Linked DNA regions of Caenorhabditis elegans. The protein of the gene in region 2 purifies or fractionates together with the protein of the main gene of each other region. This does not show direct contact. Each region holds a gene or a part of one and is shown on either strand. Other genes may lie near its edges.

Region 1 (15,509 bases), on a different chromosome or scaffold from region 2:
ATTGAAAAACTGTTTTTTAAAAAAAACTATAAAATATTAAATTTTTATGATTCCGTAGAAAAAATTCTGCGATGCAATAAAAACATTATGTGATATTATAATATTATACGTTTTTTGTTGCAAAATGCGAAGGGTCTCGCCACGAAAGTAACAATTTCCTTCTGTGCATTTTGTCGTAAGATACAGTGTATTACACACTTTCAAGATAATATCATTTAAGTTCAAAAATTTTTTAAATTAAGGATTTCAAAATCATCACATTGTTTACCCAATTATATGTGTGTGCCACCTGCCCGAGTTTTTAGTTTTTCCTGGTCTGGCCTATGTTCTTCTTCTGTCATTATTTAGGACCACGTGGCCTTAAACATTATTTGAAACAAAATTTTTAGAGTTTTGTGGAATGAATTTTCGAAAAAAATGCATGACATGTTTTTGGCCGAATTTTCAATCTCCAGCGGCCACGTCGTCGATAATCGTGGAAGAATAATCAAATGTGTTGCCTAGAATTTCCATAATTTTCGCATAAATAAATGAGAGCCGGTTGGCTTTTAATTTTCAATTTTTGTGATTCATCTGATTATGAACTGTTATCAATATAAAATAGTGTGTCAAGTGAAATATGAAGTTTTGGTGAGTCAAACTGTAAGAAAATTGGTGGCCGAGTTTTCTTACGTTGGCGGTCATAAAAAAAGGGTTTTTCATGGGTCTCCGCACGATATTGAAAGCGTTACGTTTATTGTGAATCTCTATAGATCGTGGCGAGACCCTTCAAGAAACTCTCGTGCTCCTTTAATCGTTGAATTTTCAGGCAATAGTAAATACATTCCAATTACTGAAAATTCAAAGTGTTCACAGTGGTTTGCCAATTCCCGTGGTTTCGGATGATCAGCTGAAGGTTCTGAAAAATCTGAAAATGTTTTGATTTTTTGTTTTTTATTTTCCAGAAACTTCAACAACTCCAAGATTTGCTAATTTTCAATAATATTCATGCGGAAAACTTTGATCTGGGTGATTTCACGGTGAGTAATTGTATTTTTTGAAAACTTGATTTCTCAGAAATTTCCAGACGGAATGCCTCATAAATGCTGAAATACAACTGGAACTATATCTTAATTCTTGTATTGCTGTGGGATACTTCTATCAGTGTCAATAAAAATGAATTTAAAAAAAATTATTCAAAATTTCTTTCAAAGCGGTGGGTTGGAATGGCAACTGCAAATGTACCTTCGAATACAGAATCTGGAAAGTCGGTGTTTTTGTTTGAGTGAATGATAAGCTTGAATAAAGGGATTTGATCAAAAAAGTGTTTTTTTTTTCAATTCAATTCAACAATAACAACAAAATGAAAAAAGGGGATAAAATCAACGAAAAAACAAAAAATGGATTCATACAACCAACGAAACTTTCTTCCCATCTACAGTAACCGCCGCACATTTCTGAAGTTTTTCGTCGAAAATCGAATCCACGTCATCACTTGCTGCTCCGGCTGCGGAGAGCTCTTCAATAATGGCTTTTTTCAACTTCTTAATCTTCATTTCTCCTCCATTTTCCTTCAACTTCCGCTTGATAACCTTCTTCCATTTGAATGTAGATTCTGGAGCATCTGTGACTTCTGCTGCTGTCGTTGCAACAGTTGTTTCCTTCTTTGCTGCTGCGGCGGCTTCTTTTTGAGCCTGGAAAATGGTGTTTCATGAGAAATGTGGCTCTCCCGGTGAAATTGTGTGAGTTCATTGTACTTTTGAACAGGTTTTTTTTTTGGCTAAAATACTCTATTTTGGACCAATTTTTAGCTTTTCTTCCATTTCTTGATTTTTAATTTTTTTTTTTTGAATTATTCGTAAATAAATTTTTAAAGTCGTTTTTTGTTGGAAATTCCAATTTCTCAAAACATTTTTTTTTACTAAAATTGTTTTTTTCGGAAAATATTTAATTTTGTTCGATACTTTGTGGTCCTTTCCAGATTTTTTAAAATAAAAAATATTCTTTACAAAAAAAACAATTTTTCAAAAAAATCCATTTGAATGTTTTCTTCAGAATTATCGAATTTTCTACAATAAAAACAACGATTTAAATTTTAAATACCAAAAAATTGGTGAAAATGGTCAAAACAGTTTCTAAAAGATCATCGTATCCTCCACGGGGAGTACACGAGCTCCGTAGATCGACACAAATTAGGAAATTTGAGCGTAAAATCTACCTTTTCCATTTTCTGCGTCTCCTCCTGCTTTCGAATCGCTTCCTCTCTCATTTTATCAGCTTCTGCGGCAATTGCTTGCCAAGCTCTCAGAGCAAGATTCTTATCACGGAGCCGACACGAGTTGGTCAGGAAATTGATGAATTTCGCCTCTTTTCTTGGAATATTCGCAAATCCAGCAACACTTTTCAGCAGTTCTTTCACTTGTGAATCGGTGACAAATTCGATGGCACGATTCACTTGATCAACCCACGCATTTTGTTTCGCTTCTCCTTTATTCTCTTTTTCAACGTAGTTTTTTCCTCCGTATTTCTGATTTTCAGTGATGCATTTTACATGATCTTTGTATGTTTCACGGCTGAAAAAAAAATTAATTAATTTTTAAAATTTAGTGCCAGACAATGGCATAGATTTTTCAATTAAAAAACGAAAAATGGAAAAAATTAATAAAAATTAGTTTTTCGTTGTTTTTCTTCGATTTTCTCCAAAAAAATTACGAAAAATCTATTTAAAAAATTCCGATTTTCTAGGAAAAATATCTAGAAACCTACAATTTTTTTTCTGAAAAAAATCAAAAAAAAAAAAAAATTTTAAAGGTTTTTTCTGAAAATCATCAAGATTAATCTGAAATTTAATTTTTAATTATTTTTCTGAAATATGTTTTAACGCCAGAAGCTTACGTGTAGACAAGTTGACAATCAATACAGCTGAAAGTAGTATTACGGCATTGGAAGAGATGACGTTCGACCTGAAAAAAACTTTGCATGGATGTGTCGATTTACGCAGATCGTGTATTTACTCCATGAGGATAAGTGTGCATTTTTTGACAAAATGCATTTATTTTTGACTATTTTCGCTAATGTATTTGACATTTATATAGTCAATTATTCACTTATTCGTAGTGTCTCAGCTGAATTAAAAACTTTTTTTTTTGAAATTATTGAACAAAATTATGGGTTTTCCGATTTATTTTTTTGAAAAAAATATTCAAGAATTATTGGAATTCGCTTGCAATTTTTCTTTGATTTTTCAAGTTTTTGGAAAACTCGAAAAAATAATAATTTTTCTGTTTCCTTTATTTACAATTTCAAAATTTGGAAATTTTTTCGGAAAAAAAAGAAAACTTCAGAACATTTTTTTAACGATTTTTCGAAAAATTGGGAAATCTAAATTTATAGATTTTTTTTTGAAAAGGAAATTTTTTAAACTAATTACTTATTTTTTAATTAAACTTTTTGCTAATTTTTTCAAAAAAAAAAACGAATTTACCTGATTTTTCTTGCAAGCTTCACCGCAGTTGTTGCACGAGAAGAAAACCATCTGGAAATTCAAAAATCTAAAATTAAAATCTATACAAAAGAATTCAGATATTCAAAAGTGGTTTTGAAAACCAACATTTTGCTCAAAAAATCCAGAAAAAAGTGGGAAACTAATCGTTTTATACGAGAAAAAACCAGGAAATGTGGATAGAATCGACGAGGAAAAGTAACACAGATTGAGAGAAAAGAAAGGATTAATAAAATATTATATTAGGGAAATTTTTTTTGTTTTTATAATACAAAAAATGGAATATTTTCTGGATCGGATGCGGAAAAAAACTAATAATTATACAAATTGTTAGAAAATACAGGTGAAAAGAATATGAGGAATGTCGGATTTTTTTAGTAAAAAAAGCAGAAAAAATGGGATTTTTAGACGAATAGAAGCCAGAAAAGCATAAAAAATCCAATATATTTGAAAATATTCGACAAATATTCCTCTTCTTGAGCCATTCTTGATCCCGGTGCAGCTGATTCTCCGTGTCCACGGGGTCCTGAAAATTTTCGGTTTTTTTTCAGAGAAAAATCGAAAATTTTTGCTTTTCTGGTTAAAATTATAGAGTTAGAGTTTTCCAAATGTTTATACATTTTTTGTTTGTTTTTATTTTCTGAAATTTTTCTAACAAAGTTTTTTTTTCTAATGTTATCAAATCTGGCAAAATTTCAGAATTTTTCAGAAATTCTAGTTTTTTTAATTATTAAATTTTTTATTTTTTACAGTTTCCTCGTATTTTTTTAGTAAATTTTTTCAGAATTTTAGAATTTTCCTATTTAAAAAATGTAAAAATCAAAAAAACAAATTTAAATAAGTTCTTTTTTTTTAATTCTTTAATAGAAAAAAAACTTTTTTCTTGGATTTTTCTGATTTTTCTTCAAAAATAATCGAAAAATCTGGAATTTTCCCTAAAACTCTAATTACCATGTGTATGTCCATGAGTATGTGCATGTGTACCATCATTTCCGTCATTTCCTCCACCATTTCCACCACCAGCTGCTGCTGCTCCTTGATTACCATTTCCAAAGAATGAAGCAACAAATGACAATGGGAAGATGCCTTGAATGAAAGGTAGCATGAACATCAACGGGAACAGACCATTCACCGTACCAATTCCAAATGAAAAATGCACATTTGGTCCGCCGCCGCCCATCATTCCGCCATCGCCACCCCAATTGAAACCGGCAAATGATTGCTGAAAGAGGGTTTTCGAGATTTTGTTAGTTTTTGGGTGTGTGTGTGTTATGCGCTTTTTGGGATTATTTTGGTATTTATTTAGATTTTTTAATAAATTATAAATTGGTTATTTTTTCTTAAAGAAAAATTGTGCAAAAAGCAAACATTTTGTCAGCTTTCTAAAAAGTTCGAAAATTTTTTTTTTTTTTTTGAAAAATTTATGTTTAAAAACACTTGGCTTTTTATCGTGTTTTTGGCTTAAAAATTTCCTTTAGCAATTGTTTTCTTTTTTCTCTTTTTATTATTTATTTAAAAAAGAAATTATGTGTTTGAAAGAGACATTAATTTCCGATAAAACTATATTTGCCGAACATTTAAGAAAAATTCGGTTAAAATTATAGAAAACACTTTCCAATAAAACCGGTCTTTTTGTTATAATCATGTGAAATTTTTCTTCTTTTTTTCATTTAAAAAAAAGTAAAATTTGATGATGATGATGAGAAAATTGAAAAAAATAGCATAATGTCTTTTTTTAAGTAGTTCAGAAGTGTTAATCAGTGCATGAGTAGTGCATACCGGTGGTGGTTCACTTCGTTGTCCTTTTGGACGTGGTGGAACTTTTTTACGTGGATCCGATGAATCGCCACCTCTTCCATAGATCGGTACAACTTTATTCCCATCAATTGCACTTTTACACACTGGACAAACTTGATTATTTGGACGAGTATCAAGCCATTGACTCAGACATGGCCAACAAAAAAGATGTCCACATAGGGAAACGACTGCATCTTTTGCTGCGTCCAAACAAATATTACATTCAAATCTGCAAAATTACGATTATTAAATTTTGGAAATTCTGGAAACTTGTATTTTTAGAAACGGTGAAAATACGAAAAATTTGAAAAGAGTCAGTTTTTAAAATTCTTCGATTTTTTTGTCAATTTTTCGGGAAAATTATTAGTTTTGATAACTTTTTTTTGAAGACATACTGCTTGTAAATTCAAAACTTAGGCCATTTTCGTTTTTCCTACTTTTTTTGAAATTTTTGAAAATAACTGTAATATTTTCTGTCGGATTTTTTTTCTCGTATTTCGGTTTCTTGTTGATTTTCCGGAAAACTCCTTTTTTAAAAATAATTTTCGGTTATCTTTGAATCTGTTCTCATTAAAATCAAAACATTTCTGGTTAATTCGTAGTTTTTCGGATGTTTTAAAGTGTCGTAAAAGTATTTAGATAAACTGCCGTTTTTTGAAAATTTACAGCAAAAATAGAGAAATTATTCGGAAAAATAATTAAAAAAAAAAAACAGAAAATATGTAATTTTAGATTTCTCAAAAAAAATTAATCAATAAAAATTCGTTTTTTTAATTTCCGGTCATTTGTTATGTCTAACGATTAAAACATCGATTTTTTTCTAAATTTACCTCGCAGATTCATCTTTATTACTGGAGCTCGTGGGCTCCTCGGATGGAGCTTTCGTCTCCGACGCCATTGGCTCCGAACTCTGAAATTCCTTATTTAATTCTCTCTGAAATCACGTATTAAAATATATAAAAATGGTAGAGATAACCATAGAAGTTTTTAAAAAATGAACATTGGAAATTGAAATTGGATATTTCATTAGGTCTGGAATTGGAAAATTGGGAGATTGGAATTTTAACCAGCAATTGAAAAAAACAAACAAAGAAAAAATAAATAAAAATTAAATTTTACAATGGAGGTACAACAATTCCTTGCTCCTTTCTCTCGAAATATCTTTGCCTCGCTGCCTCAATATCTTCTTCTGTATTCCGCTGCTTCAGAATTTCTTTGAGTCCGTCTAATCTTGCTTCTTTATCGATTTTCTTCGGCTTCAGCTTATCTTTAAGCGAGATTTTCGGCGCTTTTTCAGATTTTTCAGATTTCCCTTCAGGCGATCTTCTACTCCCTGATTCTCTCGATTCTATGGACTTCCTTGAAGTTGGTGACGGGCTTGAAGTCCTTCTCCGAGCTCGTGGAGCTCTTGCACCTTCATCATCTGAAGATGGAGGTGTTGGAGTGTAGTTTCGCTGACGGATTCTCTCTGCGTGAGTCGTTGCTTTTTTTTTTGATACCGTATTCAGGCCAGGTTTAAGATCTCCTTCGAAATTTTTTTGTGGAGGTTTTGGTGCTTTTTCCTCGTCAGAATCATCGGAATAAATTGATTTTTTAAGCTTTTCGGCTGGTTTCTTATCCGATTTTTCCGGTTTCGGATCAATTTCTTCATCAGAATCTTCCCGTTTTCTCACATTTTTCTGCTCTTTCTTCCTCTGTTTAATAGCTGTAGGATCTCTTGCCAAATCGTTTAAAAGCGTCCTTCCCATACCAATTTCCCATAATTTCTGTTTCTGAACACTTGTCATATCATTAAAAGCAGCTTCTTCAGCTTCTTGTTCCCGATGTTTCTTCACTTCTTCCTGTTGCTTACGGTATGCTCCAGTTACAAAAACTTCTTTATCATCAAATTCATCGCCTTCTTTCTCTCGTTCTCTGAGTTGTTGGCGTTCTTCACGAGAAAATTGTTCGAGTTGGCGACGAGCATGGGCTTTAATGATGTTCTCCGCGTATTTCGATTCACGATTTTTGTCCGCTTTTCGAGCTTCTTCTTTCTGCAAAAACAAAGCTGTTAGTTGAATTTTTCAGCCTAAAAATACTGAAACTTCTGAAACAAACCATTTTTGGTTAAAGATGTGTTTTTTTTTCTTTTTTAACGAAAAATTTTCGATTCTCTAAAAACCCGAAAAATCGAAAATGTTCGTTTATTCTTGTCCATTTTTTAGATTTAAAAAAATATCAAAATTGTTAGTGGAAACTTATTATATAAATTGTTTTATTTGTTGAAAATTTTTTTTTCATATTTTCTTATCGAAAATTCTTTGTTAATGGTTTTAAAATCTACACTTTTTCGTTTTATTTTTAGTATTTTTTTTTTCGATTTTCAACTTTTCGAGCCCTCACTTTTTCATTCTTAATCGCCTGAATTTCATCGTAATTCCCGTCATAATCGAAAATCGTCGGATCCTCGGCTTCTGCCTTTTGATGTTCTCGTTCTGCTGCTTTTTGCACACGAATAACTGAAGCTGATGCCATATTGGTAGCTGTGGCTGGCTGAAAAGTAAGAAATTTATAATTCAGAAATTTATAAAAGCTTTTCTAAATCGAAAAATAGTCAAAAACTAAAAATGTTTAAAATTGCTAGTAGGAAAAAATTATTTTTGATAATTTTCGGTCATTTCTTTGTTGTTTGAAAACTTTTTCTCCTACACTAAATTTTTCAAACTTCTCTGAATTTTACCACATTATCATCATCATCATCGTCTCCAAAAACACTGGAAACTCGAATTGGAGCAGCTTTCGGTTCATCTTTTTTCCGAATATTTAATCCTACATGCCGTTTTGATGCCATCTAAAAACTTTTTTATTTTATTTTTCCAATTAAAAGAATCCAAAGGATACAGTTTCAGATATAAAACACCGCTGTGAACGGGAATTGGAAATAAAAATTAAACAGGAAGAATAAATAAAGTCGTAATTTTTTTTTCAAAGAAATCAGAAAAATCACCCGGTGCCCGGCAAAAAAGAAGTAACGAGAAAAAATGAAAAAACGAGAATAAAAATGCAATTGGAATGACAATTTTTGTGTGTATTTGTGACTATTTGATAACTTTGGGATGCAGTTAGAAATTATTAAATAAAAATAAATAAGTAAAAATTAAAATAAAAAGATTCCTATTCCAATCCCATCCATGTGGTGAGTCCTTGAACAGCTGTTACAATCAATGGCTGCCAGCAGACGAGATAACGGATCCAGTCAAGCAATTTTCCATAGAATAAATGAGGTTTCTCCCATCTGAAATTGAAAATTTTTAAAGAATTTATAATTAAATTTGATTTTTTCAAAAAACTAACGGATTTTTAAACATTCTCTGTAAATCGACACGTTCTTTGCAATACGGGCATGTTTGAAGTTTTCCAACAACTACCCATCCTCTGATACAGAATTCGTGAAAAACGTGGCCACATGAGAGTCTGAAATTATTGATTTTAAGTTTAACAAGAGCTTTCTAGCCTCATGTGTCGATTTACTTTGTTAAATGCAAAAGGGTGCGCGCCTTTAAAGAGTACTGTAAATTTTAAATTTCTGGTGCACCGGATTTTCGTCAATTTTTCAACAAAAAAATGTTAATCAAATTTTATTTATTGAGGCACCACGGATTCAAGATCTGGTGGAATTCCGGATCTACGTTTTCCGGACCTGGCACCGTGCCAACGCAAAAAAAAATTTCTCGGAGGTCTTGATTTTATTTTTCTGTGTAACTTTTATTCGTATATTTGAATTTTTAATTATCAAATAAAAAATTTCACGAAAAACTGTGGAAAAATCGATGAAAATTCGTTCAAAAGCTTCATAATATCAGTTTTTAAAAATTTGGTGCTTTCTGGTGATTCTCGAAGAAAACTGGAAAACTACTTATTAATTCTTTTTTTTAATTAAAAAAAGTGAAAATTCCAAAAATCTGCTGAACTTCTCCACTCACTTATACAATTTTTCATCTTCATCTTCAACCATTTTCGTTGTAACCACAGCATCTGCATCATGAACATGTTCCGAATCATCAAGACGTCCTCCACAAACAGCACAGACACCGTCTTCTAGATGCTTTTTAGGAAGTCCTTCAGGAGTGTAATACTGAAAAATTGGAATTATATTGATTATTTTTCGGCAGCAGGTGAAAAATGTATTTTACCCCGATTCTCGACGCCATTCTCGCCGTGCAAATGTGAGCAAAATCCCGGCCGAGCACTCCGTAATACACACCATAGAACATGAAAAGGATGCCTGGAAGCTTGAAAATTAGATTTTTTCAAAATTTTTCCAAAATTTCTCACCGGCATCCATTAGTGTTGGCTGTGAAACTCCGAATAAAACATGAAATCCTAATAAAGCTCCCATCATGATCAAATATCCAACAACTCCGAGTACATAACTCAGTTTATGCAAAAATAGAAACCATTTGTAGACGAATCTTAAATTATTTCGTTTAATTCGTCTTTTTTATTCTTAAAAACCTTGGTGTTCCTCCACTGATATGTTGAGCCGAGGCTTTCAACCAAATAAAAGCTGAAAAAATGCAGAAAACAAGCCACGTGGCCAGGAATCGATACCAGGATCGGTTGAAACAAACATAAACTGGAATTGTGAGCATTCCTATTAATGTACACATCTGTAAATGTTTGAATATTAAATAAATGTTTAAAATTAATAAAATTAAATACCTGATAAGATTTAAAATGCTTCCTCTTCCAGGTGACCAGAAAAATCTGTCCAACGATGACAGAAATCATGAAAATAACCATCATTTCCATGTGCATCGCTTCGTGTCCTTTATGCTTTTCGTGCATTTTTCGGTGCTCCTCTGCCCATTGTTCTTCTTCTGTTAGCTCGTGTGGAGGGGGCTGAAAATAAAAATTTATAATAGAAATCATTTTACTTTTAATTAAACTATTTTAAAATCAATAAATACTTACCATTCCTTCCTGAACTTCATTCTGCAGCCTAATTGCCCCATGTTGGCCCATTCTATGGCCTGAAAAAATAGAAATTATTTTGGAAAACGTTATTGATTTTTCGAGAAGGTAAAGCGGACTCCCGCGTGGAAAGTGACCAATTTTAAAAATTGAACGAAAAAAACACTTTAAATTCAATAATTGATAAAAATAGTTGAGTTGGTTAACTTTGCGACAAGGAAATGTCGGAGAAAGATTTGCGGTGAAAATCGAAATAAAATAGGAGAATGTCATCTGCGCGCGGCATATCTGCAAATCTTGTGTGCCAGGGTTGCAAAGAACGCTCCGCCCACAAACATTCGAATGCAAATTTTGGCGTTTTGCTTCTTTTTTCTCTTTTTTCTGTATAACCAAACAAATATATTTTATATTATCCCTTTTTAGAGCAAATTTATCTTTTTTTTTCAGAAAAATGAGCAACGGTCAACTCGTGTCTCAGGTGACAGTTGGTCACGATAAACCATTAGATCGTGAGAAAGTATGTCCGATGCTTCTTCGCGTCTTCGTTGCTAATAATCGTCATAATCCGATGAGCGAGTACAATAGTAGAAATGGAGGATCTGTTCCACCCAGCGAACTTCAAATGCATACTTGGTACGCGGTAGAAATAGAAAAATTAGTACTATTTGGCCGAAATTATAGAACTTTTGTCTAATATTTTCAATAATACATTCAAACTTGTAAGTTTGGTTAACCTGAAGTATTTTTTTTATTTTCAGGATGGACTGTTCTCTGCGTGAATTGACCAGTCTAATCAAAGAAGTGAATCCGGACGCTAGAAGAAAGGGCACCACATTCGATTTCGCTATTGTGCAGGCAGACCGCGGCTCGCCAAGATACATTCTACGCGATGTGGGAAACACGACGAATGGAGAGCGTGGCATTGATGACAACAAAACTGTATGTGATTTTTGACACCACGGAACCATTAGAATTTTATTTGAATTCGGAAATAATATCTCCAATATTAAATTCGTTTTGATTGAACTTTGTTTTTCAGCTACAACAATGCAAATTCGAAGTCGGTGATTTCGTCGACGTCGCGATTTCCTTGCCAAGTCAAGGACGTCGTTTCAATAACCGGGAGCAGGGAGACCGTTTCGATCATCGTCAACGCCAACGTAGTCCGATTCGCTAGACGCCTAACTGTGTGTTAAAATTCAATGATACTCTTCTGTATTTATTAATGTGTCGATTCTTTTTTTTATAACGTGCAATGTAATATTCTGCGTAAATCATGTTTTCCTTTACAATTGTTCAACATACTTAACAATTTACAACAAAGTTTACTTTCACATTTACTGGTCAAAATTGCAAGCTATTTAATTTTAAAAAAGTTTTGTTTTGTGATTATGCAAAAATCGGAAAAATGATCGCGATCAAACTGCTTTCAGCGAAAACTAAAATTTCTTCTCGAATAATTTATTGCTTAATAAATGATAATGGACGGGGGGTAGAGCAAGTAAGATTATTGAAAATCGAAATTTCCAAAAACGTTCTAATTGGAAGTTTCTTTCGCCTTCGAAAACTCCTAATAAGAAAGTTGGAGGAAATTCGCACAGAAAAAAAGGCAGGTAAAACAGGAGTATCTACTATTCAAACTATGTGTCAATGTACTCTACTCTAGATTAAATTACAAAAGGATTCTTAGTTGAAATTATAAAAACATAAAGGGGAATACGATACAATTATGGGGAAAAATGTAATAAAGAATGTTCAGAAAAACAAAAGCATGGGAATTTAAGTACTTGTATAGAGAGTAGGTATAGGGTAGTGGATAAAAAATGTTGGTAATATGTAAAGGGGGTGAATACGTGACAATAAAAGAGAGAATCTCGGGATTACGCCCAGAAGTTTCGCTTCGGAATGGTCATTCCGTTCATTGCAACGGACATCTCATCAACAATGGCTGCCGCCAGTTCTTCTCGCATGTCTTCGTTGATGAGTTCCGAATGGTCTTTGATGATGCGGTTCTCAACTGCTTGCAAATTCACGTAACGCCTGGAAACATTTGTTTTTGATAAAGATTTTTAGGAAAATAAACTATTACTGATGAATTTTGTAATTGTTGCGTCCTCGTTTAGCCAGATTTTCTGCCGCATAAAGAACATCTGGAACCGATGGTGGCTGGTAGGACACTTGATGACCGAATGCGCGGAAGTACGTCAAGTGCATGAGCTCGTTTTTAGACCATTTGGCATCATTGACAAGGATCGTGTACTTGCACGGACGAACGGTACCCTAAAAGAAACTTTCATTTAATAAATTAACTAATGAACAACTTACAATAAGCGGCGTCTGTGAAGACAAAATGAACTCGTCGTATCCGTAGGATGTCAGGACATTCTCGACACATGTTCCAGATGGGATGTTCTGATCCGTCGCTCTGTTGCCACTGATACATGATGGAAAAACGCGAGCATGTGAAGCTCTTTGTGCGATGATCACCACGAGATGTGGACGGTATCCGGGCTGAATCTTGTCAAATGTTCGTCGCATCTCTTCGACTTCTTCCTTAACACGATTGAAGTTTCCTTCTCCAGCACCAACACGATAGATGACGATTCTTGTTGGGAGTGTCTTCGAATGCTCCTTGTACGATCTGACACACTTTGGGAAGAATTCATCAAGTTTTTGAAGTTTGTACTCCTTTTGGGTTTGAAGGTATGTGAAGCCTCCGAGCTGCGTCGAGTTGGTCAGGGAATACGAGACTCCAACAACTGATGGCTCACCATCCATTTGTGATCTACTGCGATCGAACAAAGTGCGTGATGCGCCATGAGAAATCTCGAATCCGATGAATTGTACATGTTCGAGAAGTTTCTTTCTCAATGTTTCATTGTTTGAGCACACTGCTTTTCCACGCACAGCATTCGGGATCTCGACGAAGAAGTTGGTTCCACCACACTTGAGGTTGAACTTTCTCATGACGTTGTCAATCGTTTGGCGTCCACCTTGACCTCCCATCATTTTATCGACAGTCTGTTGACACAATTGGATTGTTTGCAGGCCAATCGATTCCTCAAAGTATTTGAGTATGTCGTGAACATCCGGCTTCTTCTCCCTTGCTATTCCAACAAGAATGTCCACTCTATCATCGAGCCATTTCTTCATCAGATTTTGGATAGCAACGGAATCACTGGAGTTCAATTCACGGATGGACCAATCTCGCGAGTCCTTTTCGACCGTGATTCCATTGTCACGACAGAAATTGGACAGCTTGTCGCAGAAATCTCTGAAAATAGAATATTATAAAGCAGAAGAAAACAACGTTCGACTTACTCGGCCTGTCTCATTTGGATACAGTTGTCAAAGACAACAATACCAATTTTTCTGATCCGTGCTGGTTCGACAAACTTGTCCTGTGTGCGGAACGCTGGACGGCTCATGTCAGGCATGTAAGTCTGGCCCTTGAACTTGATTTGAGCTGGTGGGAGGAGCTTCGCAGTCATTTGGATTGGCTCAGTCGACATCAGTTTGATTCCGAAAGCATCCATGTACTTATTTTGTTCAAGCTTCAAGTTGTCGCGGAGAATATCTTGAACCAACTTCACATGATGCTGTGGCATAGACGCATTTCTTCCTGTCATCGCCGATTGTACTGTCGGGCTCATCTTGTTGACCTTGATCCGCTGGCCTGGAGCAATTCGAAGCAACTCCATTGGGAAGAAAGATTCATGTTTGAATCTTTTTGAGACGACGAGAGGAAGTCTCGGATATTTCAGCTTGATGTTGTACTGCAACAGGAAATATTCCGCCACGGTGACCTCGCGTTCTCCCTTGTCGTCCTTCATCATGAACGAAGTGCTACAAAACAAATTGTTATCACGCTGATGATAACTATCGAATAACTTACTTCTCAGCATTGTTCTCGGCAATCGAGGATACGCGAATAAGGTTACCCTTCAAGTGAGTGCATTCCACGTCCAATCCTTTGAGTGCTTCTTCAATGCATCGCTTCGTGTTTCCTCTTTCGCCAAAAGCGTGTTCCAACTCAGCAGCATCACTCGGAGAGTAGTCCGCTCCATTTGAAGAACCACTGTCTCGACGGGAATCGTACATGTCGCGACGTCCTCTGCTTTCATCTCGGTACCTGTCGTTGCCACCTCGGTTTCCATAGACACCACGAAAGTCTCTCGAGTCGGAACGGCCGCCACGGTATCCACCACGAGAGTCTCGCGAGTCACTTCTTCCGTATCCGCCTCTTCCACCGCCTCCACCTTTCATTTCGGATAACTTGTTGCTTGAAAACTTGATAACTGATGTATCCTTGTAAAATGGAGAAATCTTCGTATCAACCGTCATGAAAGCTTTGCCACCTCCGTTTTGCGATAGACGAGATACTTTCGCAAAACCTGAGCGGATCTCCGAAATAGCATCAGGTTCCGAGTGTGGCGGAGAAAGACGTGGGAATGTGGCATTACCAAATTGTAAGTAATCCTCATTGTTGAGCTTTTGTGAAGTGACGATTTCGATAATACGAGTCAACTCCATACGATTAGCCTCCTCCTGGGCAACTTCTCCTTGGGTGTACACAAATCCGGCAGGTTTGAGAACAACAAGGTAAGAATCGTCCTTTCTGCGAGACAACTTCGACACGAATTTCCATTCTTCCTTCGGGAAGTCATCGATCGTCAACGTGACTTCTTCTTGATCGTCACCAGTGTAGACTCCCTCCGGAAGATAGAGAGTCGCAGCGCAGTCGTAAGCAAGGAAGTGGTGACTCTTTCCACTGAACTTCACCAGAAGCTTGTCATGTACTGTTCTCATGATGTAGTATTGTGCCAAGCGACGGTTATGGGAATTGACACTGGAAAGTACTGATTTTGAGCGGTTATACAAATTAAATACTTACTCTCCCTTGGCCGCCAAAACTCCAAGGTTGGCATTGATCTGTTTTCCGTTGCTGGAACAGACGATGACGTCAACTTGAAAGCGTTGGATCTTGTGGGGCATATCCTTGATGTCCACTGGAAACATGTTCATCTGAACATTCATCGTGTCCATCGTTGCGAAAGAGTCCCGTCCAATTGGTGTTGTTGACTTCGGAGTAGAGAACATTGGTGCTGAAAAAGACAATTTTGAACTCCTAGGCATAATGTTGATTCTAAACGAACCACTTCTCTTTGACGTCGGTTCGTCCTTGTCCTGATTCATTCGGTTGTCTCGTTTGGGAATCCTGTTGGAAGACGAACTTCCCATAATTTTGTCGAGCAAGTCGGCCATGTTTGACTGAAAT
Region 2 (16,323 bases):
CTGAAAGTGCCAAAAGTGCTTGCAAAAATGACTTTTTTAACTTTGAGCGGCGCTAACTTGAAGCACGTGAAGGATACAAAAAAGTAATCAATTACAACATTAACAATTGCATCATTAGCTACATTTTATCAGTTGATCACTTTTTTGTATATGCACTGGTTTCTGAGCTACGATGAGTTTTAGTGGAGCTGGTCCAATTTTTCAAACCCCCTTTCTTTTCCCTTTATGACCCGTAGCTCCAAAACCAGTCGACCGATCAAAAAATGTTCAACTAACAAAACATTTATCTGTTTATTATACACATGTAATCATTTGTACATTTTGTATATCACTTATGTTTGCAAAGTTAAAAGCCATCAAAAAAGGTAATACACATAGTTTTGAAAAAACAGGAAAATTGTTCAATAATTGATTTTTTCTCCCCATAAAAGTAGCGTAGACTAGGAAAAATGAATGCAATTATGTAGTTAGCAGGTACACATTATTATTCAAAAGTATTTAGAAGTTTATCTAAGAAAACATTTCTTTTAAAATTTTTTTCAACATTTTTTTTTCGATATTTTTTACAAACTACTACATGTTTACTTAAAGGACGCATATCTTTGCCAGCATGAGGTACTTTGAAATATTTCAAATTGGAAAATGTTCATAATAAACAGGTAAATGTTTTGTTAGTTGAACATTTTTTGATCGGTCGACTGGTTTTGGAGCTACGGGTCATAAAGGGAAAAGAAAGAGGTTTTGAAAAATTGGACCAGCTCCACTAAAACTCATTGTAGCTCAGCAACCAGTGCATATACAAAAAAGTGATCATTTGATAAAATGTAGCTATTGATGCGTTTGTTAATATTGTAATTGATTACATTTTTGTATCTTTTACGTACCTCAAGTTAGCGCCGCTCAACGTTTAAAAAGTCATTTTTGCAAGTTTTTTGGCACTACCAAAAGAGGGTACCTGGAGCTGTTATTGCACGATTGTAATTAACTAACTGTCTAATACTTCAAGGCACGTAAACTTTTTGGTTTCACGAAGAAATGAAAAAAATCGAAAAAAAATTTTTTTTTCGTTGTCACAGTTTTGAGCTGGAAATATTCTTAAAGGCGACTGATATGGCTGGTATTGATAGGCTTGTCATTGCTAACAGTTTTCTATATAACTACAAAATAAAATTTGAGAAAGAATCAAAATTGAGAAAAAACGACAAAACTTATTCCTTGACCTAATATTTGTTAAAGATACATTTTTTAATTTTTTAGGTTATTCAATCAAAGGGCATGGGACAAGTGGCATTCGGCAAAATGCCGAAAATATTATTTTGCCGCCAACCCCTGATTGAATCGGTATTTAATTCTAAGGGGTAACCCCCGAGCATCCCCCATTTAGAATAGGTTCTCATAGTTTTTCCAACCGTTTTCTATTCGTCTTTGATAAAGTTCCTTACACCGAAAAACTAGTTAATCATTCAAGTAATGTTCTATTTACTTGTGCACACTTCTGCAATTTTATGACCCATCATTAAAATTAAAAATTAGTCTATTTAACCACATTCCAATTTAGTGCACGTATTCTATACTTCTCTGTGCCTCTTTTCATTGTTCATTAAAAAATAAGATTATTAAAAATTAAGTTGAGCTTAAAAAGTGACGAAACAATATGATGAAACCTTTAAAGGATTACGACTAATCAGCTTATATGATCTTTTTGAAAATTGATAATATAATTACCAGAAATCTTGAGGCGATTTGAGGAAACAAAGTGGCAGAAGACATGTTGCAACAATGAGAATCAGAATGCAGAAAGATATGTGAGTGCCGGAGAATGCCTGAAAATTGGCTTCACATTATAGCACAAAATATAGATCTACTTACAATGATCATGTTCATAATGTTTTTCGAAGCCAAAAGGAGGTAGACAACGGAGATCATAAATTGTGTTACATCAATGCAAATTGAAACAAGAAGTCTGAAATATTACAACAAATCTAACATCATTTACAAAATAAAACATACTGGCAAGTCTTTCCCATAGCTCTTCCACCAATTTCTGGATACGGTTTTCTGCAATGATGTCTATATTCTGGCCATGTGCTCAACAGAATATTCCAACTGAGCCCAAGAACGTAAGCAGTATAGGTGACAACTCCAATGAGAATGACACATACTATCAGACCGGTCCAGAATTCTGAAATTAAGAATTTGAAGTCAAATTGACATTCCCATACGTTGTAATGATAAAATTAGATTTTTTCAATACATGTTTTCTTGTATTCCATGAAATTTTAGGTGACCTTTTTTGTTTAAGCCGCGTTCTTATAAAGACTTTAACATTTTTATTTGTCCTTTTTTCTGTTCACTGATAAGAAACTCGCAACGTGATCAGAGTTTTCAAAGGAGCCGGAACCGTTATTGACAGCATATGCCTATCGCTAGTGATGCTTCGTTTTTTATTAAGAAAAGAGATTACATCGTTTATTTCATTTGACGATTTTATGTTTGTGTGTTTAAGATAGTGAAAATGGTGAGAAGAAAGAAAACCTCTAAAATAAAAAGCCTTACCTGCTTGAATAATGGCAGTTGGCAATGCAACAATACCTCCACCAGCAAGATCTCCAACCACGAATAGACCAGTTACAAACCAGTTTAAACCTGAAAAGTATGATTTAGAGCAATTTGTTCAATTTAAAACTATTTTATAACCTGCCGAACAGTGAGAGCAAATCTTATTAAAATGTTTAGATTTAAAATTTTATAAAGCAAATTCCATTGTACTGATAGACTCTAAAGTTTAAGATTAATTAACTTATTGGAAAACTACGAAATTGACAAAAAAAAGCGTTTATTGCTAACTGTAGTACAAGAAGTTGGGAAATATTGAAAATTGATCTTTTCTTGACTTTAAATTCTTCTGTTAGTCTTGTAACCCCAATGCTCCACTTTGAAAACCCTTTTTTTCACACACTTTTCAGTAATTAATTTGAAATGAACTAACCAGCTGGATTAAAGAAAGGCTTTGACATATCAACATCACAGTGAGAAGATGATCGAGTTTCACCATTCCAGCTGTCTCTGCGGGAACATGATGAAGTTCTTGTAGATCTATAAATGTATACATTTATATTTTCATTGATACATCGAACTTACTTCCTACAAGAATCTTCAAAAGCGTAATTCTCTCTAGACAAGGAAAAAGACATCCTGATTGGCCAAATTAACCTGAAAATTCAATATAAATTGATGAATCAGAATAGGTAAATATTGTCTTTAAAGTCTATAAAACATGTGAGAAAATGTGGTTTATTGTTATCTATTGTGAGCTCTGGTCTCAACAACAAAACAACAAAACTACTGAAGGTAGTGGGTGTGTATTTGAAATAAAATGTGTGTGAATAAAGATACCATTCAACTTCAAAAAAAGTAGAATGGGGTACACTTCTTTTTATCTTGTTCCATTCTTCTTGCTTTTTTCACATTTTTCTCTAGTTACAAGTCGTGAGAGGGGGAGAAATGAAAATTTGCAACTGAAAGTGATAAAGATAGTTCGTCAATCAGGCTTTTATTCTGATGTCTTATCAGTTGGAGCTTTCGTTGGTCAGACGAAAAATTCCATGTCTTCACTTTTTTCATGGCTTACCGAAGCGACGTAGTGGGTGCATGAGAAAATTGAAAAACGGGTTAAAAATGAAAATAAGAAAGAAATAAAGAGAAATAAGGGATTTAGTGTAAGTGTATCTTTTTTGTCTGGTTCACGTAAAAATATGTGAACCCTTTACGAGAGGTCCTTCGGGTGAAAAAGAGATGCTCAATGAGGAAAGAAATTAGAGTCATGACGATTCTCAGTTTTATAAGAATCTCTTCTTTTCAGTGACATCATTGAGAGCTTGCAATAAATAAATTTAATTATTTACTGAACACAGTTCTCAACGACATATTTTTTTCGAAACAAAAATTTGCAATGATTGCTCACTGTTTCGAAACGTTATGTTACATCTACTCTAGTTTTGATAAAATTTTTAAAGACTCCCGTCAATCGGAATCGGTTTCTTTTTTATTTGGAAAATGTTTTCAATTTAAAAAATCCTAAAAATTATTATTTCAATCACAGAGTTTTAAATTAAATATCTATTTAATTCTGAAACGATGAGAAATGAACGATATTTTCAGTAGTATTTCCGAAATGTTCTAAATTTGAGTGATCACAATTTTTTCAAAATGAGTTCGGCAATCAAAATGAGTTCGGCAAAAGAATTCTCCGGAATAAAATTGCAAATTGTTTAAAAAAAGTAAGGATTTATTTTTAGCAGGAATTTTTTAAAGTCATAAATTGGCAACAGACTCAAAAAAAAATTAATTAAAACTATTCTCAATTATGAGTCATGACAATGATGTAAAAACAAATGAAGATTCAACCAACATCTCATTAAGATAAGAGTTTAATCAATCATCATGAAACATTTTGGTCTCTGTAATAGTTAGAAATCATGAGATGTCATTTAAAAACAACACAAAGTAAAATGACCTTGTTACGTAATATGGTTATGAACTTTAAAATTAAATGTCAGAAACTACCAGAAAAATTGTATCTCTTGTTTGATATTAAAAAAGGAAAAATATGTTTAAAATATGTTATTTGATAGCTAACCTTGTTTATTGGAATTTCATCGTAGAAACTTTTTATTGAATTAAAATGAATCGTCATAAATTATTTTTGTTGATAGTCATAGATCCAATAGAACGTTTGTATTGAATTTATTGACCTATTTGTTTAGTCTACAAGGCATTAAGAATAGTATGATTCCAATACCACACGAAGCATTTAAGAAAAGATCTCTCGCAACACAACTGGAACAAAACTTGGTTAGAAATTATGGTGGTGTCTTACTAATTGATGGTATTACCTTTTGGAAGTTTAGAAGGAAAAATGGTTAAAAAGTGAAAGACTCTGACAAAAATGCCTAACCAATTCCACGTATAATCCGTTATCAGTAAACCTGCAACGTCAGTACAGAGTGTGTTGTAACTCAATGCTTCTGTGCTGGGTAGTTCGAAGTTTATTAATTTAAATTGTCATCAAGAAAATAGAGAGAATCTGATTATCAATGTAATTCTTATAAAATTCGTGGAGAAAGGGCGTCATTAATTCGTTTCTGATGACTGAAACAGGAACATTGATATTTTCTAGATGACTATATTCAAATGGAAATGTGATGCTCTTTGCGTGTTTCTCAACTCCTTTCCAACAATGTCTCTTGAGAATTCAAAAATCTTAGTGAACAAAAAATGATGGATACGTTTTCGAGTACGAGTGTTTTAAATGTGGAAAACCTGAAAACCTGAAAATATCCAAAAGATAACTTTCAAAGAAAAATGATTTCGACACAATAGTATATTGTACAAGTTGGGCAAACTATTATGATGACATCTATAATATGAATGGGTGGGAAAGTTTTGAACGAAAACACTTTCTAAAAACATGATCATCGATGCACAGAACTGTTAAGAATATGGTTTGATAAAAATTAAAATATAATAAAGTGTTCAGTTGTTTCCGGTTTTCCATGGTATTTTCAAGAACGTACTAACAGCAAATATTGGACAAAAATGGATAAGTTGCAAACGATAAGACCTTGGAAAATGAGTTTTCCCACACTGCGCAGATAAATTTTAAAAGTGTATTAATACATTTTCAGTACCGCTCATCAAATCGGTCAAAAAAAACGAATGAGGTAGTCAAATGTAATAAGTGCAAATTGATTTTGAAAAGTGCACTAGGTCGATGTCAAACCAGTTATTGTGGAAAGTTCCCATTGGAAAAATGATTTACGGGAACACTAAATTCTGAAAATGCGTATTGCATTGCGCAACATATTTGACGAGCAAAAATATCTCGTAGCGAAAACTACAGTAACTATTTAAATGACTACTGTAGCGCTGGTGTCGATTTACGGAAATCATTTATTGATCGATAACACACAAATAACAAACAATACAAAAAACTAACGAAAATTAAATTTCGCTGCCACAATTCGAACATAAATTAGTTTCAATAATCGAGCCCGTAAATGGACACTAGCGTTACATTAGTCATTTAAAGAATTACTGTCGTTTTCGCTACGACATACTTTGCGCGTCAAATATGTTCAGTATTACGCATTCTCAGAATTTAGTGTTTCCCTAATAATGCCTGGCCAGTTGACTGACAACATTACACAGCAATATGTAGACTCGGAACTTGTAGCATCGTGACAAGACCTATCAAAATTATTGTATGCACCATTAAGATAATTCTACAGTACCCTGAAAGCAATGAATCAATGTTTCGGCTTAATATGTTTTGTTTCCTTGGTGAATTTTAAATAGCCATAAACTCAAAAAAATAATATTAATAGATTATGGACTAATGGATTAATGAAATGGACACATTCAATATATAGTATTCCATTTCTTTTTATTTCTGCCGGGTTACGGTATACAATTCTGTGCAGTTTTGCGTCACAGTGTTTGAACATCTTTGAAATTAAATATTTTTCGGATTTGTTTTCAGCTGTTTTTCATTTGTTAATCTGCAGATTTAAATCGATTTAATTTTATTTTGTGAAAAATTTAAATGACAGGAATACTTCTGTAATGGAGAACAGGATCAAACGGCCAAAACTGGATCCGTCCATGGACGAAGCGGAATCTCCTGTCCGAGATGGTTCTCAACAAAATAACGATAATCTGAATCAAGAAAATGAAAATAATGAGAGTAAGATATTTAAATACTTTTAAAACTTTTTACTACCGTTCCTTTCAGGCTTTTCTGACTCACTCGTTCTGACAACAATTCATCTGCTCACTGAAGAAGATTTTAATGAAAACACATTAAAAGCTGTTGTAGTGGATAATGTGAGAAAAAATTTGTTCGTTGTTTATTAAACCCCTATATTACAGAATCGACTCGAAGAAATGTGTATCACGAAAGTTTCGCATAAAATTAGACGGCTGCTGCGACACTTCCAAGATTCTGGTTCAGCTAAAAAAGTGTTTAATTTTCGTTTTCCTGCCTACAAGCCTTCGTTTACAGATTATCACTTTGGCGAACCAGAAATGCAAAGAACGCCCGTGTACACAGGTTATGATTCTTCCACTCAACCTTCATTGCTTCCCAAACACGCTTAAAAAAGGTACATCAATTCTAAATGTGCGACACTTCCGAATAAAATAATTTTACAGGTCTTTTTGCCACTCGTGACATTCTTGAAGGCGAGTTTATCATTGCTCCAGTCCCAGTGAAGCTTTCGTCTCCTGAAGAATGCGGCCGAGATGAGATGGGAGTCCTTCGTCCAAATATTATACTGTTTAATGGGCTACAAAATGACTTTTCGTTCTTCCAAGTTATCGGTAATTGAATTGTATATAATTAATTAAAAGAATACGATATTTTCAGATATAAAATCCAGAAAAAGAAAGAGAAATACTCGGGAATTTCAATCGAGAAGAAAGATTCGCGCCAATGAGGCAATGAATGGCGTCAACAAGCCCGTCTATCAGTTGAGGATATATTTATAGAAGTTAATAGTTTTAGGTTTCAGGCCGCATGCTTCATATTATTCAGACGATGAAGATATTCAAAAGAATACCGCATATGAAAAGTATGATATGTGCATCGATTTAGCTGATTCAACTGATGAACTGAAAGCTATTCGACGAAACTGTGAATCCAACTGCATGATTCGATACGTGATTCATAATCAAAGAATGCAATTATTTATATCTGCTCAGAGAAATATCCTAATGGGGGAAGAGGTGAGACCCTTCTTTGATTAAAAAATATATTATAAGACTCTGTTTCAGCTTACACTTCCACATGACTACGATTCGAATTACTCTAGCAAGGTCATTCAATGCGCTCATCCTTATCAACCACACAATGTTTGCATTCACGAGGTTAGTCAGAGAAAAAATATTTTTTTATAAAAGTAGAATAATTCATTATCAATATCTAACTCTGAGCTGTCTTTCAAATTTCACAGCATTTCGTCTGTCTTCCGGATTCATTGGTCCCCAGTCACCAGTTGCTCTTATCATCACCTAAATTATTCCATAAGTAGTTTTTAAGATATATTCTTACCACAAAAGGTTCCATATTTTTTCTTCGATCATACTCATCTCTCAAAAAGTATAAAATCACAAAGATGCATGGCATGACGAGAAGAGAATATCCTATTGGATCAGACACAATAGAATTTTCATTAAATGCTTTTTTTTGGCCGAATGTTGCAACGATACATCCAAAAGTTACAATGAGTAGAATAGGACTGATTACAAGCCAGTTAAGCCACCAGAAGACGTTAGGAGGTCCGTGTCCCCCAATCATTGCTCTTATGTTTCTGAAATAATTTTTTGGACTAAAAACTTTTTGTTTCAAATTATTGTGAATAGGTAAACTCTCTAAAAAAGATTCACATTTTTCGAACTTACACGGAAAATCTCTTGAATCCATACACATAAGATACCGTTATTACTTCAACAAAAGCAATAAATATAGTGCCATATGAAGCAAATGTTTCGATACTACTCATTAGATTAATTCCTCCGTTACCCAAAAATGGTAAACTAGAAATAAGACCTGTGACACTCATAATTGCTAAAATGATAGCTCTCTTATGCCAACTCGCAAGAGCTTTTCCATATTTTCGCCGACTTCCGTTTAATCTTTCCACAATCATAGAACTTATAACCTAAACTTAGATATTGTGGACGTTTTTGTGGCTTCATTTCTACCCAAATATAACTAGAAATTCCCTGGATTGAGCATGCTGCAAGTGTTAGCCAGAATAGAAACACCCAAATGCTTCCCATTGAAGAATTTGTTAATATCTAAATAACTTTTCTGATTATTATAGATTGAACTATTTTAATATACCTCGGAGATTACACTTTCAATCATTACCGGTGTAGCGTATAGTTGAATTCTTTCACTAGCTTCCAAGTCTGGGTAATATAATCTTCCTATTTCAGCCATGAACATGAACGAAAGTAATCCAGTGCATATGTAAAATACAAAAGAAACAATGCTAATAAGTAGAACATCTCGATGTATTTTGTTGTGAAAGTTGTTCAATGAGGCAAATTTCTGGATTCCGCCACATCCAACACTAGAAACAAATACTTTATTTTTCTGAAATTCATGATTCACACCTACTTCAATGCTCTAAGTGCATGTGCTGCAGCATCTGCCCATGACCACACCCACATCCATTTATCCTCGTAACCTTCACTTTGATAAAAGAATGCAGTAAATACGTTTGTAGTATCATTCAAAGACATTCCATACGAAAGAAGCATTATAGTTCCCACCAATAAAAGTGTAAGAGCTACGATACCGGTTCTACCAAGAACTTTTGATCCTCCAATGGAAATTATACCAATAATTATCCATAGACAAACTGCACATATAATAGATGTAACACTTGGCGGCTCCCAATCATTCATTGTTATGCTTCTCTGAAAGTTGCTTCGAAATGAATATCATACAGTCAAGTTATACAACCTTGTACATCAACCCATGAACAAAGCTCATAAATGGAGATTTTCTCTGTTGAAAACCACGGGTGGCAATTAACATTTCTTGATATTCATCACATTCTTTATCCGATCCCGGTTGAATCCATGTACATTTCGACGATAGCTTGTAATTGACACAGTAATCCCCAGATTGACTTTCCTGGCAGCTCTCCCATGGAGATGTTGACCAGATTGATTGGGAAGCATGTGTAAAAATAGTAAGATCGTAAATTGCCCAGACAGATAGACTGATTGTTCTGAATTGAGGATTTTGAAAAAATGAGAAGTTAGGTTCAGATAAATACCTGAAAACCATTATGAAGCACATTCCTGCAGATAATCCTGCCATGGCGGGAGCCATTCTTGAGAAAACTGATAGTGGAGAAGCAGAAGCATATTGTCCAAGAGCTGTTTCAAGATAAAGAAGTGGAACAGCGATGAATACATAACAAAATGTGAATTGATATGGAAACCATCCACCGTAATATCCACAGAGATACGGGAAAAACCAAATATTTCCAGAACATGTAACGAACGAAAGTGTGGCAGTGATAGCTTCCCATTTTGAAGTCCACGTGGGTCCTTCCATTTTTGTATCCAACCCAATATTCTCCAGAGCTAGATTTGTCACGCTTTTGAATCCAATGTTAGAGATGGCAGTAGCATTTGAAGTTTTCTGTAGAAAACAAAAAGATTTTTGATCAGAAAATGTATATATTTTACCTTTATTGGTATTATTTCCTCTGTAGTAGTGCTTCTATTATCATCATTTACTGTTTCGTTTGATGCTGATCTTGTAGTTTCTTCAGATTTTGTTCTAGTTTGTTTTAATTGTTTGAAATCTGAAGACGACGCCATTCACTGTTTTTATAAAACCAAAATAAACTCGTATCGAAATTGAAATTCAATTGCTCTAGTTTCTAAAAATTCACGTTTTCTAAATATTACTAAATATGATTTCAGAAGGAACGTCAAAACACTATCAAGAAGTTCATATCAATGAATTCCAAGTGACTGTTCTCAAATGTAATTTTATAATTTTTTATCACTAATTATTCTCATCTTTCAGACTCTGAAAGTATCTTCTGTTCTCGGAGTCAAATCGTATCTATAATTATCATGTTAATACAATCAGTTTGTTTCATATAATAATTGTTTTTAAAAACACAGTTTTCCACAGTACATCTTCAATAAAATCATAATATCATAATATCATTCTATTTATAATTTTGTTCATACTCTTTTTTATAAAGTTAATTTCATTGCTTCATTTGTAGACGCCCAAGACAATTTATTTAAATCTTCATCGTGGTTACGGTACCGTATACGGTTTTCAAGTTTTATGGCCGCGGCCTAGAATCCGACAACCGTGTACTCCTCCTAGACAATTGCAGAATATAATTTTATTGCTTAATTTTTATGGAATTTGGTTCTAGAACTATAATTACTTGATTCCTAATTCAAAATTTAAATTGAAAACTCCCATATAAGTGCATTGATTCTTGTGTATTGTTTTAATCAAAATTTTGAACACGTGATGCAAAAAGGGTATTCTTGGAACGTTTTCTACTTTTTTCTCATTGGAGAAATTTTCATTGTCTCTAACGAGCGTTTTGCATTTTCTCTATCCTCTTTCCATTCACTTTCATTTCTGAAAAAGGCTTCCATCTCGATGTCTTGACGACGAATTCGTCATGTGTGAGGCTGACTGCACCATCGATTGAAAGAGACCTTCCCTGTCGTTCTCTCGTTCCCCTAACTGTCTGATATCTCATGCTCATCTGTACTCTCTCGTCGCTCGGCATTCGTCTGTTTCTCTTTTTCTTTTCCTTCTATACCTCGTGGACCCTTTCAATATTTGGTGGTAAAAACGTGATAAAACTCACTGCTCTCTGAAATTATTTTTCATTCCCACGGATCTCGTTCATATCGAATAATTTTTCTATTTTTCATTTCTTCTCAGTTTTGCCTTCATTTTTCGTTGTTTTTCGAATTTCGAAATTTTAAAAATCTTTTCGTCTAAAAGGTTTTTTTTATTTTCAGCGCGATTTTATCGTGTTCAAATCGTTAGTAAGGATAATAAAGGAGGAATCCGAAATTTGGGTAATTGCATGTCTTGGTAAATATTTCAAATTGTACAGCAAACTCTTCAACATTAAGACTTTTCAGAATAATAACAATGTCGGCGACCGAAAAGGACAAAACTCCACTTTTGGGTGTTTCTCAACCCATTTCGCTAGCCCATCCAGATTCAAAAGACATTGCACAGACGACTTTATTGATAGAAACATTGAAAAAGTTTGGAAGCTATGAACCAAAAGAAGAAACAGAACAAAGAATGGAAGTACTTCGTAATTTGAATCGTCTAGTCAAAGAATGGGTTAAGAATGTAACTGCCATGAAGGTTCGTTTTTTGTTGAAATATTTAAATTTTAAAAGTATGATCTGAAATAGGTTTTTGTTTATACAATATTTATGAAAATCATCCAACGACTGGATATAATAATTGAAAATAATTAATGTTGGCTCATTGACAAAACTCAGTTTTCTAGAAGAAATTTCAAAAATACTTTTATTTTTACTGTTTAGTTGTGGAAAATTTTTAAAAATTAAATTTGACATTAAATTCGTTGTTTAATTGAAATACGTGTTGATAAAGGAATATATATTAACAAATTTCTAATTTTAAACTAAAACCTCAATTTTCAGATCCCGAATGGAGAGGGTGTGAATGCGGGTGGAAAACTTTTTACTTTTGGATCATATCGTCTTGGAGTTCACAGTTCTGGTGCTGATATTGACACACTTGCTGTTGTACCACGTCATATCGATCGATCAGACTTTTTCACATCATTCAAAGAGATGCTCAATAACGATCCAAATGTGACAGAATTGCATGGTGTTGAAGAAGCTTTCGTTCCAGTTATGAAACTTAAATATTCTGGTGTTGAGCTTGATATTCTCTTTGCTCGACTTGCTTTGAAAGAAGTACCTGATACCCAAGAGCTTTCTGATGACAACCTTCTCAGGAATTTGGACCAAGAAAGTGTTAGATCACTAAATGGATGCAGAGTCGCTGAGCAACTGTTGAAACTGGTTCCACGTCAAAAAGAATTCTGTGTAACTCTACGAGCCATCAAACTATGGGCAAAAAATCACGGAATTTATTCCAATTCGATGGGATTTTTTGGAGGCATCACATGGGCGATTCTCGTTGCTCGAGCTTGTCAGTTATATCCAAATGCAAGTCCATCAAGACTTGTTCATAGAATGTTCTTCATTTTCTCAACGTGGACTTGGCCTCATCCAGTAGTACTAAATGAAATGAACAACGACAGAAACGATATTCCGACACTGTGCGAGTTGGTTTGGGATCCTCGACGAAAAAATACAGATAGATTCCACGTAATGCCAATTATTACTCCAGCATTCCCAGAACAGAATTCGACTCATAATGTGACTCGATCCACCGCCACTGTTATAAAGAACGAAATATGCGAAGCCCTTGAAATTTGTCGAGATATCAGTGAAGGAAAATCGAAATGGACTGCTTTATTTGAAGAAGTCAACTTTTTCAGCAGATATAAGCATTTTATTGGTAAGTTTTCATTTTTATCACATTTCAAAATGAATTTGTGTATTTTCAGCTCTTATCATGGCTGCTCCTAACGAGGAAGAAGAATTAAACTACGGTGGTTTCCTTGAATCACGTATCCGTCTTCTTGTGCAAAGCCTTGAACGTAATCAAGATATTATAATAGCCCACAACGACCCGAATAAGCATAAACCATCTCCAAATGCAAAGTTTGATGTAAATCCAGAAAACAAGAGGGTTACTGTATGGTTTATTGGTCTTGAATTCGCGGAACATGCTAAAACTCTTGATTTGACAAATGAAATTCAACGATTCAAAACAAATGTCGAACTACAAGCGAGTAATGTGAAGGGTATTGGACCAAATTGTCAAGTGCAGGTGAGTGTTTTGTTCTGAAATATTAAAGATTAATAGAAATATCGACATTTCTGTATTACAACCAGAAATGCCGTGCAATTTCATAAGAAATAGTGAAAAAAGTTCATTAAAAAGTAATTTAAAAATATGGAAACATTTTTGCTTTATCTGAAATAACCCTTATTTTATTTTAAAACAACTGAAAAAGTGTTCAAAAATTTCCTGTAAGATGAAGTAACTATATTTATTATTAAAAAAAAAATTTATTATTGAAACTATCGAAACATCTAACATTTTCGTTTTTCGTTGAGAAAATTTTTTTCTATATGGCCAATTCTCAATATCTCATATCAAAATCAACTTTTTTTTTTTGATAAATCTATAGCTTTCTTGTTTTTTCCGTGCATGTCCACTTTTCTTCTTGGCTTTACGATATTCGATTTTCGACAAATTAAAAATTAACGAAAATTTCGATTTTCTCTGAAAACTTGCGTTTTCATTTAAAAAAAAATGCTATTTTTCAAAATGTCGTGCTAAAATTAAACATGAATATTGAAATATCATTTCGAAAAAAACATATTTCTCAAAAAAATTAGCTTTCAGATTTTCAACAAAAAATTTTGCAATAATTATTTAATAATTTCAGATTGATATGTTCTATGTAAAGAGAAACAGTCTGATTCAAGTGATTAGTGCTGCTGATCTTCGCCGTGGCCGTCGCTGGAAGAAAGTTGTTCCAATTGCTACGAATACTTCCGTCAGCAGTTCTACACCCCGAAGTGTTGTGCGAACTACAAGTACTAGCTCTGTACCAACTACTCCAACTGGACTTGCTGCTCCAAAAACACCACTATCTGCATCAGTTTCTGCCACGAATGAACCTGATTCAACAACAAATGGTACTCCATTATCAAGAAAACGTAGTATGGATGAAGAATCATCAACTACTGTAACTTCACAAATTTCTGATGAATCTGTACCAAAAAAGAAAACACGTGATGATACATTAGAAGAGAATAGAGTTTCAATGGTTGTTGAAGTTTCGAATGTTGTGGTTGAACAAAGAACAAAAGTTGTTCAAGAAATAGTTGATTTGCAAGCTGATAATGGATTGAATACATCAAATGGTTTGGAAGCCAGTGAACAGAAAATGGAGGTTCCACAAAGTGTTTAATAATGGGTACGTTATGATTCTCAATTAAAAGAAATTTAAAAAATTGGTAATCGGAATCAGAGGTGGACTGTAATCGAAAAGTTCTGAAATTTCCGTGTTTTAAGTTTTCCACAAGGCAATTTCCGCAGTTGGAGAACCTCAACATGTTGGTTAATTCTTAAAAATAATTTTGGAAAAATAAACTAGAAATGAGCGAAAAAGCAATTTCAACTGCATTGATAAAATTTTGATCTCACTAACAGTATTCAAAGTTTAAAGTTTAAAAAAGTAAACATTGAGGAAATTGTTAAGAACAACTCCCATGGTACCTAAAACCCAAATTTCAAAAAAACAACCAAAAATTAAGTTTGCAAAAAAAGTTGGAAAATTCAAATATTGTAAAAACAGCTGGATAAAGCTACACGAGCCGAGATTTTTCAGTAAATTTCAAAGATCGCTATTTTGAAATCAGCTTCCATAATTATCCATACATCGATTTACAAAGACGTTTTAAAATTATACCATCTTTTCAGGTGTCTACTGTCTTCAAACCAAAAGTTTTACACACTTTTTCACGCGGTTCTTTTATTCTCTCACATTTGTAATATATCATTGATAATAGTTATCAGATCGCTTCACTTTAGAGAATTTATCACCATTTATTTGTTCGTTTTCTCTTCGTATTTGCATAAGATAATCATCCAAGTACCAATATGCATTTCTTTTGGTTTTTAACTTTGTCTTCCTCAGTATATGTTTTCTTTATTGAAACTATATGATCCTCCATTTCATTATTTTCTTGTTTTTTCTTCATCAAGTATATGCCTTCTACTTCACTTTTTTTGTCTTATGTTTCCTTCTGTTTTTTTCATGAAAAAATTTATTTATATGAGCCAAATTGGCAGCTTCATTGTTTTTTCTTTGACTTCACATACCATCGCTCTTCTCGGAATCATTTAATCTACTTGTATTTACTATTTTGCTTCTCTGTTACTATCTATCTCTGAGTTTTCAGAGAATTACATTTGCTTTGTATAAAAAAAAGCCAAAAACTCTGAAAAAATCAAGAAAAAAAATCGGAGGAATCGCACTCGTTTCTTCCCCCAAAAAAGGCACGCATTCCAATTTTCTTTCCTCTTTTTCCTCATTTTTTACCACATTTTCTTCCTTCTCGATTTGTCGTTTTATCCACGATAAGTCATTCATCCTTTTTTTCCCTTTCTCCAACAGTCTCATAAACTTCTCCCTTCATTCATACATCAGTCCACGATGTCTTCTCATCCCCGTCCAAACTTACCTTTTCATTTAATTTTAATCATCTCTCAATTGTTTACTGTTTTCGGTTCAGAAAGTTTGCAATCATTTTTGTGCACGCTCATGTTTTGTGAACGGATAATAATGGTTAATAAAAAGAGAAGACGTCCAGCTTACATTGGTTGAAATCATACAGAGAAAAATAATACATTTATAAATAAAGAAAATGAGAAAGTTCTATGCATTATACTGCTTGACCACGGCCTTCAACATGAAGATTGCAGATTCTGGGGTATCATATGCAACCTGAAATTAATATTATTCCAATAATGTTTTCCAGAGTCACTATAATTGGTGAACGGCCAGAGTCACTATAATTGGTGAACGGCCAGAGTCACTATATTTGGTGAACGGCCAG

The links.
Region 1: the proteins of snf-10 (region 2) and ccdc-55 fractionate together in Caenorhabditis elegans (co-fractionation; one large-scale study listed by BioGRID). This does not show direct contact.

The regions. Positions count from the first base shown.
Region 1 is NC_003281.10:4,160,658-4,176,166, forward strand, and holds ccdc-55 (Nuclear speckle splicing regulatory protein 1 homolog), read right to left. Parts: upstream 8,109-15,509; coding exon 7,998-8,108; intron 7,811-7,997; coding exon 7,661-7,810; intron 7,312-7,660; coding exon 6,394-7,311; 3' UTR 6,291-6,393; downstream 1-6,290. Other genes in the region: C01G12.16 (RAP domain-containing protein), read left to right, coding at 580-630, 809-895, 945-1,019, 1,067-1,153; C16C10.8 (LYAR-type C2HC zinc finger protein), read right to left, coding at 1,386-1,673, 2,198-2,552, 2,875-2,942, 3,464-3,514; E3 ubiquitin ligase rnf-5, read right to left, coding at 3,886-4,007, 4,433-4,703, 5,261-5,507, 6,109-6,176; E3 ubiquitin ligase rnf-121, read right to left, coding at 8,432-8,552, 8,612-8,731, 9,241-9,392, 9,451-9,542, 9,593-9,729, 9,773-9,927, 9,980-10,159, 10,232-10,282; C16C10.4 (putative histone deacetylase complex subunit SAP18), read left to right, coding at 10,683-10,864, 10,990-11,170, 11,271-11,408; Argonaute protein hrde-1, read right to left, coding at 12,112-12,271, 12,321-12,511, 12,557-13,505, 13,553-14,077, 14,127-15,080, 15,126-15,336, 15,388-15,496. UniProt on the Caenorhabditis elegans protein: Required for the cessation of distal tip cell migration at the end of larval morphogenesis.
Region 2 is NC_003283.11:10,430,392-10,446,714, forward strand, and holds snf-10 (Transporter), read right to left. Parts: upstream 10,433-16,323; 5' UTR 10,405-10,432; coding exon 10,270-10,404; intron 10,223-10,269; coding exon 9,852-10,222; intron 9,804-9,851; coding exon 9,533-9,803; intron 9,487-9,532; coding exon 9,185-9,486; intron 9,138-9,184; coding exon 8,906-9,137; intron 8,860-8,905; coding exon 8,764-8,859; intron 8,721-8,763; coding exon 8,461-8,720; intron 8,370-8,460; coding exon 8,111-8,369; intron 8,071-8,110; coding exon 7,975-8,070; 3' UTR 7,939-7,974; downstream 1-7,938. Other genes in the region: Y32F6A.4 (Amino acid transporter transmembrane domain-containing protein), read right to left, coding at 1,726-1,823, 1,870-1,963, 2,011-2,182, 2,557-2,646, 2,990-3,096, 3,142-3,194; set-22 (SET domain-containing protein), read left to right, coding at 6,625-6,745, 6,794-6,885, 6,931-7,020, 7,064-7,163, 7,213-7,380, 7,427-7,529, 7,572-7,785, 7,834-7,926 and 1 more; pap-1 (Poly(A) polymerase), read left to right, coding at 11,726-11,950, 12,256-13,144, 13,194-13,519, 14,145-14,672; Y32F6A.5 (Retinoid-inducible serine carboxypeptidase), read right to left, coding at 16,143-16,211.